3 linked regions of the Oreochromis niloticus genome follow. The protein of the gene in region 2 purifies or fractionates together with the protein of the main gene of each other region. This does not show direct contact. Links are inferred from orthologs where the notes say so. Each region holds a gene or a part of one and is shown on either strand. Other genes may lie near its edges. The genes, in order: clspn, rad9a and rfc5.

What was found.
Region 1: the proteins of rad9a (region 2) and clspn purify together in Homo sapiens (affinity purification with western blotting; 3 studies listed by BioGRID and IntAct, with this or other methods). This does not show direct contact. The link is inferred for Oreochromis niloticus from reciprocal best matches to the Homo sapiens genes RAD9A and CLSPN.
Region 3: the proteins of rad9a (region 2) and rfc5 purify together in Homo sapiens (affinity purification with mass spectrometry; 3 studies listed by BioGRID and IntAct, with this or other methods). This does not show direct contact. The link is inferred for Oreochromis niloticus from reciprocal best matches to the Homo sapiens genes RAD9A and RFC5.

The regions. Positions count from the first base shown.
Region 1 is NC_031985.2:14,063,175-14,070,902, forward strand, and holds the start of clspn (claspin), read right to left. Parts: upstream 3,004-7,728; 5' UTR 2,731-3,003; coding exon 2,704-2,730; intron 1,960-2,703; coding exon 1,842-1,959; intron 917-1,841; coding exon 483-916; intron 1-482. Other genes in the region: ago4 (protein argonaute-4), read left to right, coding at 4,199-4,421.
Region 2 is NC_031966.2:22,445,393-22,453,114, reverse strand, and holds the start of rad9a (cell cycle checkpoint control protein RAD9A), read left to right. Parts: upstream 1-4,621; 5' UTR 4,622-4,857; coding exon 4,858-4,891; intron 4,892-4,984; exon of another isoform or gene 4,985-5,007; coding exon 5,008-5,078; exon of another isoform or gene 5,079-5,201; intron 5,202-5,213; coding exon 5,214-5,287; intron 5,288-5,398; coding exon 5,399-5,447; intron 5,448-7,722. Other genes in the region: uncharacterized protein zgc:113229, read right to left, coding at 2,088-2,230, 2,306-3,115. UniProt on the Homo sapiens protein: Component of the 9-1-1 cell-cycle checkpoint response complex that plays a major role in DNA repair. The 9-1-1 complex is recruited to DNA lesion upon damage by the RAD17-replication factor C (RFC) clamp loader complex.
Region 3 is NC_031977.2:30,125,029-30,131,992, reverse strand, and holds the start of rfc5 (replication factor C subunit 5), read right to left. Parts: upstream 3,006-6,964; 5' UTR 2,861-3,005; coding exon 2,814-2,860; intron 2,276-2,813; coding exon 2,211-2,275; intron 1,898-2,210; coding exon 1,761-1,897; intron 1,653-1,760; coding exon 1,573-1,652; intron 1,450-1,572; coding exon 1,376-1,449; intron 874-1,375; coding exon 714-873; intron 79-713; coding exon 1-78. Other genes in the region: ksr2 (kinase suppressor of Ras 2), read left to right, coding at 5,093-5,266. UniProt on the Homo sapiens protein: Subunit of the replication factor C (RFC) complex which acts during elongation of primed DNA templates by DNA polymerases delta and epsilon, and is necessary for ATP-dependent loading of proliferating cell nuclear antigen (PCNA) onto primed DNA.

The sequences.
Region 1 (7,728 bases), on a different chromosome or scaffold from region 2:
ACTGGGACATTTAAAAAAACAAAACAAAAACAAAGGTTTCCAATTTTGAGATAAAATAATGTTTGAAAAACTAATTTTGACAACACATTTAACACAATTATTTGAGGATTTGTGAGTGAGCCATCTTTGTCTTTTTTCTGGTCACACTGACTTAAATAAAGTAATAGAAAGGCCACAAGATTACATTTAAAAAAGAAAATCTACTTAAATAGTATATAAGCTTTTAACATGTAACATACTTGACATAAAATCTTCCTTCACCTACGTGAAGCGTAGTGCACTTTGCTGACAATCATTCACTTTGTGCTTCAAAAACATAATTCTAACTTTTATTGATTTTATTATTTTTTATAATATGTAACAGGCCAGGCTGAGACAGTCCACAGGACGTATTAGTGCCCATGTGTGTTTTAAAAAAAGATGTTATGAGAAGAACCCTTGATGTATCCAGCCAAAAAGAGTTCAGACACTAAAGCACTCACCTCATCCCTTTCAGAGAACCTCTCCTTCTTCTTCAGCTTTTCCACCGCTTTGCAGCGCTTTTCCTTTTTCTCACGATGTCTCTTGCTCTTCTCTCTTTCCTTCACTTCTTTTGCAGATTTCACTTGCCTCTTCACCACTTTCCCCTCTTCCTCCTCCATTTTTCCACTCTTCTCCTCCTCAGGCTCACTGTCCTCGCTATCAACAGGAGCTCGGCTTATTCTCTTGCATTTCTGCCGTCCCTTTTCCTTCTTCTTGTCCTTCTCGTCTACCTTTTCAGTCTCCATTTCCTCTCCGCTGGAAGCAGATAAAACTAGTGCTTCTGCCATGTGTACACTGCTATCTGCAGCTGCCGCCTCTTCCTCGCTGTCACTGTCTCTAATGGCATTACGGTGAGGCTTTCTGTGCACCATGATGTCTTCATCGTCATCAGAATCTGATAAATAAGACAGAAAAACCAACCAATTTAGAAAGTTAGAATGAAGTAGAGTAGAATGGAAATGGTAGAGTGGTAATCCCAGCTCATATCAATGTGTAATGAAACAAAATACTAGAGTTTGCACTAAACAGTGAGAAAAATAAATTCAAGTAGAATTTTATTCTAATGCATATATTTGTTTTACCAATAAATAAATAAATTAAACACATTAAGCAAACTTAATGTGGTTTGGACATGTGAAGTGGGATACTGGACATATTGGTCAAAAAATAAAAAAGGGAGAAAATGGAGCTTCCAGGCAGGAGAAAAAGCAGAAGTCAAAGAGGACATATGTCCTCAGGGAGTGGTTTGGAGGCAAAATGATGGAGTTTTTACTACATAAACAGTTTAATTCGTTTTCAAGTTACCTTTAGAAATCGACAACTTGAATCTTAGAAAAGTTTTTTTGCTCTATGTCACAGCCCTGATGAAATTTCTTTGGTAGAAGGGAAAAAAACATCTTCAGTGAGCACCAAGAGTTCTTATATGCAGGACAATATATGCAGAAAACCTTGATATAAACCCTTCTGAAGAAACCTCAGACAAAACAAATATAAGTCCAGGGAGACTGAAATACTTCATTATTAAAGTATTTATACTATTTCCTACAGAATTTCCCTTGGACTGATATGTTACTCTTTGCCTTTATTGTTTTTCAAACAAATGTGGTCCTTTGGAAACTGGACATCTTTTAGATACTGGTTTGCTTTTCATTTATAACCTTTGAATGTATATTTTCTCAAGAACTGCAGCTTTGAATCTTTGGTCAGACTGGCTCGTTATGGTAACTAGTGTTTCTCTGCCTACTCTGGTGTCACAGGCAGTTGCATAAATGCATACCTCATTTACACAGCCAGAGTGGCTCATTGTTATGCTGCTTTACCTGGACGACCTTCTCTTTTGTTAGAGGTGTCTGTAGCCATCTCCTCTGCTGGTGAGCCCACACCGCTGTCTGAATCACTCTCTGTTGCAGTCTGGGCCACAACTGGAAGTCCCTCACCCTGCATACAGTAGCACATAATACACATGAATTGTTGCTGCATGGGGCGAGTAAAAGGTACTTAGTGGAAAAAAACTTGAGGTTAAGTATCAACTGAAAAACAGTTCATCTGGGGCAGGGGTAGAAGTTCAGTTTAGGTTACTTGATTGAGATTCATGTTGTGTGAGACTGCTTTTGTTAAATCTAGTAACACTAGGAATTCATTTCGAATGGAAGGCAACCCAAATTGCTGCATAGCTCATTAAAACAAAGTACCACAGTATAGCATGTTTCTGCATTTGACAAAAACACAGAGGAGAGGGTGTTAACACAGAGGATGGGTGTCACTTTTGTCACTTTGGGCAGCGAAACTGTTGTTCGTTGACAGGACTGGCGCCTTGAAGTAAACCAAACAATGAGCAGCATGTCTGCCTTTCAACGTTTCTAATTATCACCATTCAGGCAACAGATAAGGCTGTCCGTGAGTCCCCTAGGTCTTACTTTAATAAAAGGATTTAAAATTAAAATGTCAAATTGACACGCTTTAAAAGGCCCAAGCCAGTTACCACTTTCCAAAAGAGCTGAGCTAAACCTAACCTAGCCAGGAAGCTAGGTGGCTAACAAAATGTGCAGTTAGCATATTTCTTTCGATCTTGCCAATCTCCACCAAAAAAACCTACCCGATGAAACAGAGTGATATATGCAAGTCTAGAAAAGTTAGGCAGAGGTTCAAGATAATCACTGACAAACCAAAGCATTGCCTGACCTGTTGTTGAGAAAGCACCAAGCTCATCTTTGTCCGCTGGCTAGTTTACGTTCTTTTTTTGCAAAATAAACCGGCTCAGACGGCACCTCGTAGTCTCGTGTCACCCACAAAAAACGTGGACAAGTTACCGTCAAAGCGACCAGCGCTGCTTCTGTGTTTTAATTGACATTTAGTTAGCGTTTAGCCGGAAAAGTTATCTTCCTCCCGCCTGTTCCATACACACCGAATAGAAATTTTGATGTTTCGCGCGCCGCGACAGCTGGCCCGCAGTTTTTCGCCACCGGAACGTCAATCGCAGTGTTCTCGATTTCCTATTGGTCTGTTTGGCGCAGATGTCCCGCCTAATTTAACTACGCTGCATTGCAAAAGCGTTTGTTTAAACCCCGGGACCTCTCCGGCGAGTGGGGATTGTTGCTGGAGAAGAAACAGAAAGGAAAAAAATTCCAAATATCATAACAACTTTAACACTTATTGACATGCTAATTAATCATAAAGCACAGTTATTGGAAATGCACCGTTTTACAGCTATTCTATTGTCCCGTTGCAAGGAAAATGGCATTGCATAATGGAGTGATATCCTTTATTCAATCATTTATCGCTTATTTGTTCTTTACAGAACTTCTACCCTGACATTTCAAAACCATTACATTTCTCCACATTTCTGTCCATCTACACAGATTTTTCTGTGCAATTCTACTTACAAACCCAGTATTCCTCAATCAAGTCTTAAAGCCAGCGCTTTGTTGATACTAATTAATCCAATTAATGATGCAAATTACATATCTATGAGTTGTCTGTTTCTCAAAATTAATAGCATAACCCTGACTTCTCTTAATTAGTATTTTTTCCAGGTTTGTGCTGCTTAATACAGTTTTGTCAGTGGTGTCTATCACACGGTTAAATGAAACATTCGGATTTTTAGCAGTGTCCCACGGTTTCATTTGTTAGACCGAACAATAACTGTGACGAGTTTCTTCTCTAACCCCGAAACTGACCCCCCCCCACTCACATCCCCACCCAAAGGCTGATACTCCAGGTTAATCAACAAGCGACATTGATTTTTTAATCAGTTTTTTCAGCTCTACTATATAGCTAAACAGATAATTCGTAATCATCAATCAGCAACTGACACTAACACAATGTTCCACTCCAAATGTACTTACCAGTAAGTGAATTTATGTCAACATCTTGCACTCTGAACCATTGCACACAGAGCAAGAACCAAACTGGAGTCCTACTCCTTGAATGCACATACTTGGCCATTAGGTTTTTATTTCCAATTTACATCATTTTTAACAGCATTTTATCATTATAATATTGTTTCAGTTTTATTGAAACCAAGTTTTTTAGAACTTTCAGATGTGACTATTTAAGCCAACTGCGCATGCGTGTCCAGGTGAAAAAAGGTATATATGAAGCAGGGGTGCAGGGCGCAGGGGTTTTTTTTTCAGTGTGGAGGTATCCTACTGGAGGAGGTGGAGTAGCAACAATAGTAATGACTAAGGGCAAGGAGCTGGTACCACGTAGCGAGAATCGTGTGGGGCTGTTATTGAGCGTATCAACTAATTACAGCGTCATGGCAGCAGAAACCATGAACTGGGAGTTGTTGCAGAAAAAATACGGTTATATTTTAAGGCGGTTCCTGGAGCGTTATGTGCTACCAAAGCAAGGCAACGGAAAAGGGAGGAGGTATGAAGACCGGTTTGGATTTAGAAGAGGTACGTATGCTCAGATTTTATATCTTGCCTTGAGTTTCTCTTTATCTTTATTTTGTGACCATGTTTCTACAAGTCCCAACTAAATCTTCAAAGGAAAAACATTCAAATTGAAATCTTAAACTAGAACAGTAACATGTTTGGGGGTCTTAACCCCCCCTCAAAAAAGTAGGTAGGTAAAAGATTTCTTATTATATAATCCAAGTAAATTACAAAAACACAAACGGACGAAAAGCTACTGCCTTTTATTCTGCTTTATTCAGGTAAAATAAAACAGGGCATGTGTGGCTTGCTTGGAAAGTATCACTTCAAAAAGCTTCTCAGTTTGAAAAAACAAAACAAAAAAACTTATACAAGATTTGTTTTAAATGGTTTGATGTATCACAGCACAATTAATTAAGCATTAAGAAACTTTGATATTTGTTATTTGGTGTAACAAATATTTGGTATATACTGTGGTTACAGACAGAAATGGACTTTTAAAATCCCACACTGGAGACGTTCACGCGTCGAATGAATGAGAAAATGAATTGGAGATATAATAGAAAAATGAATGAATACAAGGGTAATTTGTACAGTGTAAAAAATGTTATTATACTTATTGAGGCTATATTGTTTAGCCTGTATTTAATTTTCAATCACAAACAAAGAAATTTAGAGTATAACCAGCAAAAGCAACTGCTTGCATCTCCGCGGTATCCTACGGTGGATTTTCGCCACTTGTAACCGACGCATGCGCATATCCAAATCCTCAGAACGAGCAGCAGCGGCAGCGGTAGCTCAGTTCAGGTCAGCCCAGTCAGCAGTCGTCCACGCGTCTATCTATACTCCCGTTTCTTAAATTTAGCCACTTTCAAGCTTCGAGATACCGCCCCCAATTTCAGCGTCGGTACGGAGCCGCCAGGCCGGGACAGAGACGGAGAGAGAGGCCTCGGCCATGGAAGCGCTCGGACCCGGTAAGGATTTTTAAGAAAGCGAGAGCGGAGCGAGGAGCTGGGAGCGCGAGCCGTGTGTGGGGCGCGTGTGCGCAAATGCGTCGCTTCACTGGGGGCCGCGGCTGCAGCGAGGCCTCGCTGTGACGGGAAAACAAGCCGAGGCCCAAGCCCGTGTTTGTGTACGTACTCGTAGTACGTTATTTACATCGAACCAGGGGGGCTCTTTTTCCTGTTAGTACCGGAGGGGGTTGTTTTTATCCAGTCTCCCGCCGTGTCCGAGGGTTATATTTATGTCAGGCACGCTCTACTCGTCGTGTCGGGGCTGGCATTGTGTGAGTGGGGATTTAACTGGGACCTTCCTTCCTCCTTCCTTCCGCGTCGTGCTGTGTTTACGTTGTTTGGTTCTCGCTGTGTTTATTCGGCGTTTCACGCGTTTACGACCCGATTTCTTCAAGGGGACCGCGCGTTTGCGTCGAAATACGGCGGGATATAACGTGTTTTTGCCAAATCCCCCTCTCAGTTAAATCATATAAATCTGCCTGCACCATCGCCATCAGGAGCAGGCAAGCTCGTCTCTTACACCCCCCTCCCCGCCCGTCCAAGATGACAGCGATGGGTTGGGAAGACAAAATGAATGCCAACAAAACACATGTTTACTCGGCAGATGTGGTGATTTTGTGTTTTTTTTAATGTGAGGTGGTCATTGGTTTGCGCGCCTCTCCTTGGGCAGCAGCCATGCGCCCGTGAGAGCACAGCAGGGATGGATGGCGCTCTTATCGATCAGATCTGCAGGCCAGCTCCATTATAGTCTCCTATATGATAACAAAGGCACGTATTTTGATGCAATAAAGGCATGCAGTGGGAAGTCAAATCATGCACCTGTGCGGTCAGCAGTCCAATATGCAGTGTTATTGTCACAAAGCTGCAAAATATGTTTAGGTCATATTTTTTCCCCCCCACTGGAGACATTGTGTTCTTTTTTTTGTGTGTGTGTGGGAAACGCGCCTTTTCATAAACGAAGCATCTTGCAACAGAAAAAACCAGTCTTCATGCAACAGCATTGACATGGTTTATTATTATTTATTTATTTTTTTGACTTTCTAAATGACCAAACATTTCCCCCGCAAGCAACAGAAGAAAGGTGGTGGCATTAGGAAGCACTAGATGTGTTATTTAAGCAGGAAATGTGCTCCTGCAGAAATTGTTAAATGGATGCAAGAAGCTGTGAGGGTCCAGGATTATTGGGGACAATACAGCCTGTCTATCCTACAGGGGTGTGTTTGGATCATTGTTGCACATAATGAAATGAAATGAAATAATGAGTAATCAGCGTTTTTTATTATACATTAGTGATTGCTTATTGTACCTGCTGTCTGTACCTTGCTACAGCAAGTGTTTAGGTTGTGGAGTGTGAATTGAGATTTTCTATCAAAGCCTTTGTTTACACATTCATAGATGCAGACGTAACAATGAGATTTTTGTGATAAATATAAATATGATCTGTGAACACTGCTCTAGAATTTCTCTTTTTGGGATGTTTGTAAAGCTTTGTTGCCCTTTTCAAAGGCAATGCTGAATCTTATTAATATTGAATTATTAATGATAATATTAATATAATGCGAACTGGTCATGGTGCAGGTGTGAATAGTGAATGCATAATGGTGATTATGTTGAAGTAACTGTAAATCTGAATGGATTAGAAATAAGTTAGACTCTTGGCAGTTCTATTTAGTTGTGTTTGAGCTATGTCACCTTAAGATACTTAACATTATAAGGTAAAGACAACATAATATTGGAGAGAGCACCCAAATAACCTAATACTTTGGCATAATTGCTGTCTTTTTCAAAATTTCTATACACGCTTAATATCATTCTTTTCTTTATGACCAAAATAAACACAAAGCTTTAATATTGTGATGGCCTTAATTGCAGTTTTTAAGTCTTCTAAATTAGTTACAGTAATGACTTGTAGCCCATTCTGTGTGTCTGCTGTCTCCTGTTTAGTCGTGCTTCAGCAATACTCTTGTACAGTGGTGGGGATTTCTTCAAACACAGGAAAGATGTAAAGCAGACGGTCAACTGTCTGTTCTTAGAGGTGTGAAATGCAGCAGTGAGTGGCCTATTCAGTGACAGAATTCAGAATTGGGTTGTTGTTGTCTCGAAATTGTGGTGGAGTCACACAGCATGATGAATATGCAGAGATGAGTGAAAAGACAAAAGCCTGGAGGACACTGAGTGAAACTGGGAAGAAGTGTAGTAATTTTGAAGTATAAGATGGGCTGTGCTCCCATTTGGAAAATGCATTAATTCATAATGGTAAACATGGTCAGCAAGACATCCTGTGTTGCATTTAAAATCATCTAAATCAGCTCGTC
Region 2 (7,722 bases):
GAGACCCTGGTGCTACATATGACATATAACAGACAAACACAGGACTAGACTACGTAAAAGTGCAATGTGCAAAAAAATAAACAAGACAAGACAGTGCAACACTAAACACAACGATATAGACACAACACAGTGCAATAGAAATGTGCAAAATGCTGAGTATTGTGCAAAAATAACTTGGTGTCTGTAGGGGTGTCTGTGTGTGTGTGTGTGTGTGTGTGTGTGTGTGTGTGTGTGTGTGTGTGTGTGTGTGTGTGTGTGTGTGTGTGTGTGTGTGTGTGTGTGTGTGTGTATGAATGTGAGACACTGCATATGTGTCAGTCCAGTCACTGAGTGTTCAGGAGTCTAACGGCTGAGTCACTGACTGCAAATTACTTTAATCCAAGTACTGAAAATTGTATTTAGATTTAAAATTATCTTAGTACAACCAATTACTTCTGATCCCCTGAAATTTCTAAACAGCTAATGCAAAATTTTTGTAAAACCCCAGTGTGCAGGAACAAAACTACAAAAACTGTCATTGTCCAACAACTTATGGACCTAACTTTATATTATAGAGCAGAGATATCAAACTGATTTTACATAATGGGCCACATGCAGACCACTTTGTGTAAGAGTACATTTAATGCCTCAGAGATCTCAATATAGGAAAAAAGAAGTGCAGTTTTAACAATATGTCTCAGCTTTACAGCATAATAAGAAATGCTGCTGTACTTAATGAAAGAAATCTCTCAGCAGATTAAATTATTAAAGTTCTGTTTGCTCATTGTCCAGGCTGTCCTGGAGAAAGCTTTTGTCAATACACAGAAAATGTCCTATTTTATTTGTTTACCTTACTGTGGTCTTCTCGCAAAAACCAGACATGTCTATAGTAGATAGTAAAAGAACAGGAACTTGTGTTTATCTGTTACTTCATTATTGTATTATGAATGATTGTGGGAAAGGTCTTTATCACTAGAACAAGCTGTAAAGTTTATGAAAATACAGTTAAAAGTCAAAAATGTATGCCCTCCTTCACATTTTCCAAAGACATTCAGTGGGCCGAATTGGAGTCTTTGCCAGTTCGATTATGTTTGACTAAATTCTATTAGCAAGTATTACTGTTTAGTCCACTGCGCCACAGAACTCCACTGTTTCCCTAGAAATGTATCAATATACATAAAACACATCAATGACACACACTGTGGCAGTAGTTTAGATTAGTTTACATGGGCCTTCATGGGCCAACTAAGCTTACAAGTTAACTCAATACAACTGAAATGCTGACCAGAGCAAATTTTATAAAACCTGGTTTTTGTTTGTTGCCTGTTGTTATTTGTTTTTACCCCCTGAGACACCACCAGTCAAGTATCGGTATGTTTTTATATAGCTTTAAGGCTTGTTCTTATCTTTTGTCATTGGTCAAATTCGCACTTTTACAATTTCTAAGCTATTTCATATTCTCTACGACCTACTTTTCATGCTCTCATTTCCAGCAAGTAGAGCTCAGGTGGCATTTCCTGTACATTAAATATACTACAGACCAGTTTTGCACCACATCTAGATCACTTGATTATGTTTTTGTAGTGTTCCTCAATCTTCCTCAAGATCCAGCCAGCTAAGTCTACCTGTTTTATGAAATTACAAATCCTTCAAAATTAAAGCTACATATATGGGAGTTTTTAATAATTTATGTCTCTGGTAGGAAAAACAAAAAAGGAAACAAACTTGGCTTTGGGATGTGAGTATCTTTCCATCTTTTGTGTTAAGTTCTAATGAGAGAATCGTTCTTTATGAGTTACTTGCACAGAAACTATGTACATCTGTTTCCTTTTATAGCAGGTTATAAAAAAATCTCATCGTACACATGAAAGTTTGTAATGACATGCTGTCAGTGACAGGGTGTGTTTGGCACATCAGACCACAGACGCACATCAAAAGTAAAGATGTCCGATGGCTGGAAACATCTCAAATACTTTGCATATCTTACTGCTGACGTTTCAAAGTAAATAAAGCCAAAAAAACCTGTACGGCTTTCAGTTTGTGCCATGCTGCTAGAGTGCAGGTCTGGATGTATTTGTGCAATTTAGCATCATTTGTGTGCCTGTTACCTGATGTGGCTGTCGTTAGTGGCGTCCTGTGTGCGTGCAGGAAGCATTTTACTGGCTCCACTGGTGTCCAGTGAATGGAGGGTCCTTTCATCCTTATTTGATGCATTGATGAGGCTTTCTGTAACCTGGTTTGGGTGTGAAATCTGCGTGAAAAAACAAGTTGCAGTGTCACTTCAAGATTTCTTTTTGATGATTATATGACAAAACACACTACTCACCTCAGGTCCCTCCTCACTCTTCTGGTCTCCTATGCTTCCTCCTTCTTCTTCTTTTCCCTTTTTTCCTTGTCTGTCCTTCCATCGATCCTTGAGCCTCTGCGTCCACCTTCTGGTTTTATTCTCAGATGATCTCTGTTTCCTCCTCACGCTGCTGTTTGTTGTTTTTTGACTGTCTGTGGCAACCTGCGAATCTTTGTTTTCTGCCATCGCTCCAAATCCTCCATTTCCTACGTTTAACGCTTCATTGTCTTGACCTCCTGCGAAAGGGTCTGTGTTTTTCACGGCCCACAGGTAGGCCTTAGGTTTAAAGCCCTGCTCCTGGTTCTCATTCACTCCCATGCTTTGGGCAGCATGTGCGTTAGGAGGCATGCTTCTTTTCATTGCAGAATTGCCAAAACTCCACTTCTCAGTATCAGTCCTCTCAAAGGAAGCATCCTTAAGTGATGTGGTAGGAAACAGCTGCCCTGTTACTGTTGGGGTGATCGCAGGCTGTGTCGCCTGTCCCATAACCCTGCTATCACCAGTGTCACCATCACTGTTGTCTTTCTGGGAGGGGAAGGAAATAAAACCCCTGTCCACCCCACCTCCATGACCGGGCTGCTGTAGTTGACCAAATTTGAAGCTAAAGTTGCTGTCTGCAGCAGGGCTCCTGACCTTATTCGAAGGGATACCATTAGTACCTGGGCTGCTGTTTTCTGGTCCAAGTGTGTGCCGGTGCCCCTGGCCCTCTCTTTCCGACTGCAGCCTCAGTTTCTGCAGCATGGACTGCAGCAGGGCGTGGGAGTCTGCTGGATTAGGTGACTGAGACATCTAGGAACACAACCTCTAAGTCCTCTAAATCCAGGAGTCGCAGAAACACGTGTCAACACCACAGTGAAACCGGATAAACAAGGACGGACTCTACGCAAGTAATATAATTCGTCGCTTTACAACCAGCATGACAAGAGGAAAAATACCTTTGTGTAGAAGATATCACTCTTTGGTCCAGTTCTTGTTAGAAAGACACCTGTTATGGCTGCTTTCGCCTTTCTGAATAATCCAATCCCTTTCCATGACAATGTAGTTGCTTCATAGCAAATATGAAGAAAGATCCACCTCTTCCACTTAACCGTCCAGAGGTAGAAATCCTTCTTCTTCTTCTTCTCTGTGTAAACTGCTGCTTCTTATGCTGCCTCCACTAATCCTCGATCCTCAAGAAGAGCAGCAGAAGTCTTCTTCTCTTGTTCTGCATCAAAGAGATATAAGCTTTTGTTGTTTTCCCAATTTTCAAAAGTCTCTCGCTTTTACTAAATACCCATAGTTCCATTACACTACGGGTGTTGTAGTCACACCTCTTCTCCAGCAGCCACTTATATCACTGGTAATGGGAGGGGAGACTGTGCACGGCTGCGTTCCTCAGATCTTACAAACTGAAGCAGACCAACAAGAAAGACCAGTGAGGTGAGATAATTGTTTGCTGACTCTAACTCTCTCCCACTGTGTGTCTTTCTGCCCATCTTTGTATTTTGCCCTCCCTTCCTTCTCATTTCTCTACTTGGCACGCTTGCTCACACAAGTGCACACACACCCTCTGTGACCCGTAACTGATAATTATAGGGCGTTCTTTAAGAGCGGCCGCTATGTATGCGCCTGCCAAATTAAAGATATAGGAAAATGTCTGCACTGAGCTTTGCAGTAACCCATTTTATACCAATTCTGTGAAAAATGCTGTCACAGAGTTCTTTGCTACTGTTGTTGAAATAAAGTAGTAGATTCTCCAAACATGCAGTGTACTTCAGCTTGGAGAACACCATGCAATATTTCTTATAGGTTTGTTAGCCACCAGCTATATTGTTCCCCACTGCAAGTCATTACAAGATGCTGCTGCCCTGATAAACTCTTAACTGTTCTAACTACATTTCAGCCTACTAAAATGCATTTTAAACCATTTGTCATTACAGTAATTGTACTGCCTTCTTTCTGACTGAAGGTTTAGACTATAAGATTAACTAGGTACACTACAGTACTTGAAAAGTTACTTTCCTATTCTGACATGAACTTATTTAATAATAATCATGTTGCTGATCATTAACTAAAGTTTATATAACAATTAGTAATAATATACTTCTTTATCCACTACATTAATACCTTATTTTTTGTTTTTTCGTCACGCCATCTTTATATATTTCTAACCGGGACGATCACAAATAACCAGCCACGAAGATGCAGTGAAAAAAAGACAAGTGGCAGAATGTTCACTTGGAAACTAAGTGCGCATGTGCACTGTCAAACTCACGCCCCCTTTAAGTTGCCGTGTATCTGATTGGTCCGCACTTTGTAAGCGGGTAATGGCGGCGTAAACAACGCTGACATCGATGAAAGAGACACTGCTTAACCGAGAAAAATAAACTTAGACTGGAAATAAACGGAGTATGCTTTCGGTAGGAAGATTTGCTCTCGGTGTGGAAACGATTAAAACTCCGTCTTGTGTACTTCTCGGTGATGCTTAGCCGCTCGTTTTGGCTAACTTTTAGCCAAATGTGCTAACTTAGCGGAAAAGTGAGTTTGCAGAGATGCACTGTATCGTAACGGGAGGAAACGTGAAAGGTAGCAGACATTTCCTGCATATTAAACACAGTCTCTAGCTAGAATATGTATCATTAATTAGTTGTCGCTAATAATTATCTTGTGCGTGTGTTGGTGGGTGTGTCTGTACCGTCCAGTACTGGCCAAAGCCGTCCATTCTCTGTCCAGGATCGGCGATGAGCTGTATGTTGAGCCTCAGGAAGATGGGGTGAGCTGTTCTGACACTGACTTGCACACCATCACTTCCTCCTACAATGCAGATAGGCTTGTTGCTTCCTGTGGGTGCACACTTTGCGTCAATGAAAAAAGTTGATTTGTTGGTCTCTCTCTCTCTCTCTCGTAGCTGGCCCTGCGGTCTGTGAACTCCTCTCGGTCGGCTTATGCTTGCTTCCTGTTCGCACCACTCTTCTTCAGCAGGTGCAGAATACATGCCTGTGTTTATAAATGGCATCTCTGTGTGAGAGAAAAAGAAAGCGTGTATATGAGCTAACTTTAATCTGCCTTTTATACCTCTGTTTTTCTGTGCAGGTACTCCACTACTAGTGGGGATAACTTCCGCTGCAAGATGGCAATAAAGGTGTGAGAGAATTAGATAAGCTTCTGTTTTTCAAGGCGTTATACAGTCTGGGTGTGACATTGATTACATTTGAGTAGATAATGTGGTTCCCAAACTTTCATGATGACATAACACCCAAAGTTATTATAGCGTTCTTTTCTTTAGGAACATTTAGGATATGCCAGAGGTGTGTTTTTCACAAGTTCAGATTAGCTTTTACTACAGATATGCAACTTTGTGAAGGTATTTAAGTTCCAGTTACAATCTTGTGAAAACTAGCTTTCTCAGGTCTTTGTTACTTACAGTTAGAACTGTGAAAAACTAAGTACACCCCATGATTCAGTAGCTTGTAGAACCACCTATAGGAGCAATCACTTGAAGTTTATGAGTCTCTTACATTGTTTCAAAGTAATCGTTTTCTGTTTGACTTTACCAGTGTCTCAAATCTTTGTGGTGGAGTTTTGGCCTACTGTTCTTTACAGTGTTGCTTCAGTGCATCACAGTTTGCGGACATTCATTTATGCACAGTTCTCTTAAGGTCCCACCTCAGCAGTTCAGTTGGGGTCAGGTCTAGAGCTTAATTATTTTCTTTTTCAGCCATTCAGTTGTAGATTTGCTGTGGTACTTGGGATTCATGTCCTCCTGCATGATGCTGTTTGGGACAAGTTTTGACTGTCAGACCGATGTCCTCACATTTCAGTCTGGAATACTTTGGTAAACAGAGGAGTTCATGGTCAACTCAATGAGTGGAAGGTGTCAGTGTCCTGTGGCTGCAAAACAGGCTCAAATCATCACCTTCTCCCCATCATACCTGACAGTTGGTATGAGGTGTTTGTGCTGATATGCTGTGTTTGGTTTTCACCAAACAGAGGTCTTGTGGTTTCTTCAGTTGCAAGCCGAAGATGTGCTGCCATATTCTTTTACAGCCAAGAGAGGCTTTCTGCTGGCAACCCTTCCAAACAAGCCAAACTTGTTCAGTCTTTTTCTAATTGTACTCTCGTGAACTTTGACATTTAACTGCTAACTAAGGCCTGTAGAGTCTGAAATGTAGCTCTTGGATTTTTTTTTTTTTTTTTTTTTTTTTTTTTTTTGCAGTTTCTCTGTTCACTGCACAGTCTGTCACTGGTGTGAGTTTGCAGGGACGTCCACACCTGGAAGGATTGACAGCTGTCTTGAATGTTTTCCACTTGTAATTAATCGTCCCCACTGTGTTCAAATTATTTGGAATTCGGTTTATAACCACTGTCAGACTGCTTTGCATCAACAATGGCTTCTTTAAGATCACTGCTGACGTTCCATCCTTGGGATTGTGTTAACACACACCTGAATGCTCCAGACATGCAAACTACTCACATTTTGAATTTGATTACAAGCACCTAGCAGTAAGACGGTACTTAGTTTATCTCGGGATTGCATAGAGTCAGTCACTTGACTGTCACGGATCTCACTAAGCATGCTTACCAAAGGCCCCTCAGGCAGGTTGTGATAAGTATCACTTCAGTTACTTTTCTTTTGTTTTCTAGTCTAGTTTTAATTCTTTTTAAGCTCACAGTTAATTTTAAATAACTACATTGACCTTGCAATAAACCCCAAAGTCCCATCACAAAAAGTTCAACCACTCGATCACAAAAGATGTACTGAAACTACAGCTGCCAGTCTGATTTTTGTCTAATAGTTTGGTCAGGTTTGCATTCATGTGACCACTACCAAAATGTGAAAAATGTCAATTTTAACTTACTCTCTATATATTTTTCTTCTCCTTTTCTCACTGGTTTACATTCATTTTCAGTCTCGGTTTGCTATGTTAGGGAAATGTGGCTGATAGTTTCTTGATTACTTTGATTTTAAACATACTAAAGATAAACATCACACTTTCTTATAATGATTTTTTCTGTTCCTTGTTTTTTTTTTCGTTGTTGCTGTTTTTCAAATTAACTGCATGATGGCCGTACTTGGGCCTCCCTGATGTAACTACAGTTAGGAATAGCAGATCTTATTCTTAGGATTGAGAGTGTAGTCTTGTATCTGCTGACAGCTTCAAATGCCTCCTTTCCTGTCGTGTTACCACCCTTCGGTTGTGGTTATCTGTGTTCAAGTTTTGCAAAAACCTCACAGCTTCCTCGTATTAACAGTTGTACTTAGCAGTTATATCAGAGACTGGATTGTGTGTCACTTTTCAGAAACGGCAAACATATTGATTTAGATATCATTTGAGTGTCACTAAAATGTTTATTCGCATTGATTGCTACCAGAGTGTGTCATTGCGTATTGATAAGCATTATTTCCCCCCTGTGTT
Region 3 (6,964 bases), on a different chromosome or scaffold from region 2:
AGTATGTTGAGCGATCTTCTCATGTCACCTGTTGATAAGGTCACGATACCCTTCATTCCATCTGGCGTGATGTCAATACTGTCACAAAAAGTAATGACATAATCAACTATTTTTAAATCATATCAAAGTTAAATTAAAACTTGCGACATGAACACATAACTGATGACATTTAATAAATAGAGCAATCAAAAATAGTTCCAAGTCCGTTCATTAATTTCTTCCATCTCAAGTTACATGTACCAATAAATGTGAAACAATGAGAAAATTCATTTCCTATTGTGGTATTTGTTGGTTTTTCAGGGCTTGGTACAGTTGAGAGGACAGGGTTGATGTTGCCCCCTGATTTAAACTGTTTTCAAACACACAGAGAAGCCCTAAACTTCTAAAAATTACCCAACAGAAACGTAACATAAGAACAAAGACTCTAGATTTTAAACAACCTTTAATGTGGTTGGTATTATGTCTGTCTCTAAACTACCATAAAAATAGAGAATGTTCATTTAGAAGGAAATGAACAAACTTATAAATTCAGCAGGGGATCAAATAATTATTTCTCTCACTATAGGCAGACTAGCGGAGCCCAGTGGAGGCCAACAGGTACAAATACATTTGTCAAGTTCATTAGCAATTCTGGGAATAATTCAATGAGATGTAAAAACAAAAACGAAAAAAACAACAGTAAGTGGAGAGAAAGCATTCACACATTAACTCACTTCTCCTGCTGGATAACGTGCTCCAACCGAGGGATCATCTGGTCTGGCGAAAGGGGACCAAAGCGGAACCTGGTGCAGCGAGATTGCAGGGCGGGGATGATCTTGGACAGGTAGTTGCAAATGAGACAGAATCGAGTGTTTTCTGTGAACTTCTCAATGACTGAGACAGAGAGCAAGGGTGGGATGAAAGCAGGGAAACAAGTTTAAAATGTAAATTCTGGCAACATCTTAGTCAATAAAAAAAAAAAATCCACTTTTTTGAATAATCTATCCTAAGTACTTGCTAAATGTTGCTAAGATTGTGCAGGACACTCGTAAACCACCTCATTGAGAATTTAGAATTGACAGTAATATACTAATAATACCATCCACTGTTCCTTCACCATGCATCTATTTAGAACTATAAAACAGCACTGCACAGCAATAGATGCTTTATAAATGAAATATGGAAACATTATTAGAAAAACACAGGTTGGACTAAATTTACAAAATATTTTACAGTTAAATTCAATAATTATTTCCACTCTTCTGGAAAGCAAAGCTTTTTAAATAAATATCCAGGTTTAAAAGTAGATACACTGTAAGTCAGCAGCAGCCAAATTGCCTGCTCACTGAGCCGTGTGCCTCACAGTGGGTAGTGCCTGAACGAACAGATGGCTTACCTCGACGCAATGCATTCTGGGCATCCTGGGTCATGGCATCGGCCTCGTCTAGTATCACCAACTTGAAGCCCTTCCTGAAGGACAAGATAAATAAAAAAAGGCAGCAGCTTACATTTCCACTGCACTTCTTAACTGCATGTAAAAGTACTGAGAACACTTATTTCTGATCAAAATCTCTATAAGTGTTTTAGTCTTACTTGAAGATGGTCCTGGTGCTGGCAAAACTCAGAATGGGACCTCGTACTACATCAATACCTCTGTCATCAGATGCATTGAGCTATAAAGCAAAATTAATTATATTTTAATGTAAAATGGCAGAGTTACAAGTTAAAAAACCTTTACAATTCAGCAAATCCAAATCTTCTAATGAGGAGTTGTAACATACCTCCAACACCATAGAGTTGAACTCCTTCTCTTTGTACAGCTGCCTGGCACAAGCGAGTATGGTTGAGGTTTTTCCCGTTCCAGGTGGGCCGTAGAACAAAAGGTGCGGAAGCTTGTCCTCACTGATAAACCTTTGGACTGGAAATAAAAAGAACAAATGAAAATCAGTTTAAATACAAGTGACCGACGTTTCTTTAACAATCCACATATGCACCCCCCTTGAATAGTTCTATAAATTTGAAACACAAAAGTTTTAAGCAAGTTGACTCAGTACCATGACTCATTAATGACAGTGACGGTATAACCACAGTAAACAAGCTCAGGAGTCAAAAACACTGACAGATAGCATTGAGTTTATCAGTTTATTAAGGTTTAAAAGTAGTTTGCTTATCCATAAGTGTCATGTTATACAGTTTTATAGTACTGTTATTCTGGCAGTCCACATACTTACTAGTGCTCAGAATATCTTTGTGTGAAATCAGATCATCAAGTGTCTGTGGTCTGTATTTTTCAACCCTGAAACAGGAAAACACACACACGCATTCATACTTGCGATAACTACTGAGTTTACAGCATGGCAAATAAGCAACCTCGAATGAATTTTAAAGCAAATTATTGAAACGTCTACGGATACATATGATAAGCGCTGACAAACGTTGACATATCCCATTACAGATGCCCACTTTTTAGTTCGGCATCCTTATTTTTTTTCGTAATATCACCCTTTATTATAAACAAAACGTCAACCTTACAGCACTTTCACCGCAGTCAGAAGCTGCAGGTTTTCGGTTAACCTGTTGCTGAAGTGGCACCATGTTAATGCTTGATGGACTGATAAGATTTATGTAAGCCGAACTGAAGATAAGTTCATTTCCTTCCATTTTACAAATATGCGTAATAACTAACGTCATTTCTAAATGTACATAAAGCTATCAGTTCACAGAATGCATCAGTCTACTCAGTGCAGTGAGCAGCTAGCTTGACAGTAGGCATGTTAGCTAGCTAGCAATAACTTTTTGAACCATTCTGTGATAAACAGCGACTTTCAGCTCACCATGGTAAATTTCTGGTCTGTAGCGGCGCTTTACTTGTAGAAGCCATGTATCCTACCAAGCGTGAATTTTACGCCAAGCTGAGCTAAAGGGTTCCAGAGTTTAAGCCACTGCGATTACTACTGTTGATGGCCCTGTTTGGCGCGCTCCGCAAACAAAACGTACGTCACACGTCACCACGTACAACCAATGAAATCACATTGTCGTTTTCATGGGCGGAGTATCGGTGACTCGTTCTCTTCTGTAAAAAGTAATAACGGGATTTAGAAATTGTAACAATAAAAGATACACAATATCAAACATCATAAAAACGAAGGTATATGTCTCCTCTTTCATTTTTAAATATTGTCTCTCCCATTTTGAACAATTCCTTTCCTTAATCAGTGAAAATGAAAATCAAACTCAGCAGTAGATTTTTTGTTTTTTTATCCAACAGCAAGAACTAGAAGTCTTTAAAGATGGCATATGGTACTGAAGTCTGAATCACCAATTTAAACAAAAGAAAAAAAGTATTCTGGCTATCTTGATTTTTAAAATAAAAGTCACTTGCACTAAACGTCTTGTTAAATTTTAAAAAAAATAAAATAAAGTCTACTCCTTTCCTTCTTAGATGTAGTTTGTTCACTTTTATACGACACTGACATCTTAATCTCATTATAGTTTATCTTTGTAAGCTTCACAATTGTTCTTGCAAAATAGAGTCTTTTAATATTTAACCATCTTAAAACATGACAAAGAGTGTCAGAAATGTTTTCTACATTTTTTTGCATTTATTTTCTGTTACATGTGGAATATTTTCTTCTGGTAATGGTGCTGACAGTAAAATACACATATCTGTCCATATCTCAAAAAGTGCAGTGTGCCCATATATTTATCTAGAGCCTGAATTTGAAATATTACCTAACCTTATACTTTACACAACAGGTTTCTCTGAAACATTTTCTTGATCATCATGGGTTAGTGAAAAAAAGCTGTGAGCACACAAGTACACAAGATTTTGTGTACCATCTCCTATCTCTTTAATCGTCTTGACTTCTCAGATTTGTTGCTGGAAACCTCCAAAGCATCCTGATTCCCAGGCTGCATTATACTGCATCAGTCAAGGATAATGATTTAATATCACAGCCTGCATTTTGACAGCATTCAATCCTTAATGTTTGGTTTATATATTTTTTTTTTTTTGCAATTGCTGTTTTTGAACAATCCAGTTTCTATTTGTAATGTCTGCATTATAACCTATATTCTAACTGAGGAGCTTCACTGTGATCAAGATCTCTTCTGCAAATTAAAACTGAGCACAGAGGAAGAAGAAATGAGATAAGGCACACAATAAAAAACAGAAGATTCCACTCACATGCAAACATCATCAGGCATAGTACAGAGTTGTCTAACTAGGCCAAAAATTAAATGTCACACACGAATCAATGGAAAAGAATATTTGTTCTTCCATTTAACTTTAAAGCATATTTAAATCATTTTCTAGAAATATTTTGAAGTGTTTGTAGCTGTTGACTGCAGGCTATATAAGTGTCTTGGATGTGAGTGCACACAGCATGAGCCTGTAATAAACTAATAGAATCATACATATTCAGTAAAAGGACATCTTTGTTTCAAACATGTAAAGAGGGATAGTTTTGTCCCTAACCCTAGCCTGGCGTTTCAAGCATATTAAGCTCTCTGCCCTGCTCTGTAATCTCGCGAGAACGGCCCCTCACGGTGGTGCCTGGGCGATGCGATGCTGTTGCTGTGGGTTTGATTGACAGGAAACATGTCGGTGTGGTGGGAGAGAACCGGGATGCAGCTGCTGCCTAGGGAGACAGGGAGTACCTGCATCCAGTCCGCACATCAGCACCTTTAAAACCAGCAGGCTTTTCCCCGACGCGTCTACTTATGGTGCGCTGAACAGCTTCTTCTTCTTCTTTTTCTTTTTTTTTTCAAACATACATTTGAAAGAAGTGGAACCCAATGGATGCAGACCGCGTAGTCCCGCTTGGTATCTTCATACTGTGTTTGATTTAGCCCACAACCAGAGACACCTTGATGAAACAGCAGGAACTACGAGGACTGTTGTTGCAATGGAGTCGACTCTCTCACGGCTCAAAGCCCGTCTCTAAACCTTCAACATCTCGTTTCATGGCGTTTTGCAGGTTGCTCCGTTCCGTGGGTTTCACCACGCTCCTTTCTTGAATAATCATCAATATTTTTTTCCCCTTGTTTTTGAATTAATTCATTCCTTTTTTGTTAAGTGCAGCGGAAAAAAACGTCCACTGTTCACAAAACTATGAACGAGGAGATGACAAAAAGCGAGGAGCAGCATCTTAGTTTGCAGAAAGCCTTGCAGCAGTGCGAGTTGGTGCAAAATATGATAGACATAAGCATTTCTAGTTTGGAGGGTTTACGGACCAAATGTGCCACATCCAACGACTTGACACAAAAAGAGATACGAACGCTGGAGGTAAGCACCCTTTGAGCGGAATCATCGGATTTCTGCTGTGCATCTACATCCAAATCAATATGGGGGGGTGGCGGGCTGCCGCCGTTTGTTATTTATTTCAAGGCCACTATGCATAATTTTTATGTGTCTTTTCTACGGCAGACTGCTTTTCTGCTGCCACTGCATAAATATGCAACGATTTCAGCTAAAGCCCACTGCTATCTGTTTTGTGCAGTGCAATAAATCAAGAGGCCAAGGGGCTGCAGTGAGCTGTTATAGACTTGCGCATTCTGCAGGTGGCGGGGAGAGAAGGTGGCTCTTCTCCACCAGAATAATATCTGAGGCAGCCGAGGCCTATAGGCAGCCCGTGTTTACAATCCATTAGCAATATGCCAGCCTGCGCATCTGTTCTCGCAGCCAGGCCCTGCGTTATGCAAGGCTGGCAGATTACTGAAATTGTTACAAAATATCGTTATCCGTTAATTGGCCCGTGGGGTATTCCGTAAATTGCGTTACGTAATGGTCATGTTGTGTGTTGAGATATCAGGCTGCCCTTTTTGAGACTACTTAGACCAGTCGAATAAACCCCTTACCACTGACAGGCTGTTACAGGACATAAAGATGCCATAAAGTGCGATAAGCTCACTGCAAACTCACTATAGCCTATTGAGCACTGCAGACACAGCACGGCATTTAGGGCCTATAAGAATGTTATTGTGATGTCTCATGAGATTGAAACAAATACCATTAAGTGATAAGGTCTCCATAAACTCACCACTAAGTCTTTGTGTGCGCCATCAACAGACTTTAAGTCCTAGTGGGAGAATAATTAAGATACTACGTTAACAAAATACCAAGAAATCACTTGTGAGTGGCACACACTTAATCTCATCCCCACAGGAATATGAGACTGTGCATAACACATAAACATATTGCAAAGTATTCATGTCTGAGCTGTTAAATGGAGTTTGCAAGTGCTGGACAGGGGACAGGAATGTAATCCAAGTGAAGAAATAACTAAATATATAAAGTGCAAATGCTCTGCCAGCAATGAGCAGGCTACACTGTGAAGATAAGTGTTCACTATGTTCCCTGCATGCTTTGCAAAGCGCTTTCGGTACTGGATTACTAGTTATAAGCATTATGGGGTATTATTTTTATTTCACCAGTAAAATTAGCCTGACAAATTTTTGTGAATGGATTTATCAGAAAGATTTTATTGATTGTGTCATGGTTTGACCTATTTCTCCAAACTTAAGAAGGGTAAGGATATCCTTTTTAATTTGCCTAAACCAAAAGTTAGGATATACCCAAGCTATGTGTTCAGTTCTTTTCAGAAAATTTTGGCATCCATTATTAGCATGTTTGTAGCAACTGTGCTGCATGGCTAATACCTGTATGAAAAGGACACGTTAGTTGAAGGAAAAATAATCTTCTCTCAGAAGCTGAGTTAAAGGATTGTATTTGGAGTGCAAGAAACACCACTTTCTCTGTCATTTTAAAATTATGCTTAACTTCAGTCTTCCACAGGCTGTTAGACAGGTTGTTACATTACAAAGACAGAGATTTTTCATATTGACACTGAATTTGAGAGAGACATTATCCTTTAAAACAAGAGTTTTCAAAGTGCAGCTTGCACAAACTTATATTCCCACCTTAAAGAGATCTTGCAAAATTTTAAATGTTACTGGTGCTACACACTGTTTTTATGCTGTTGCT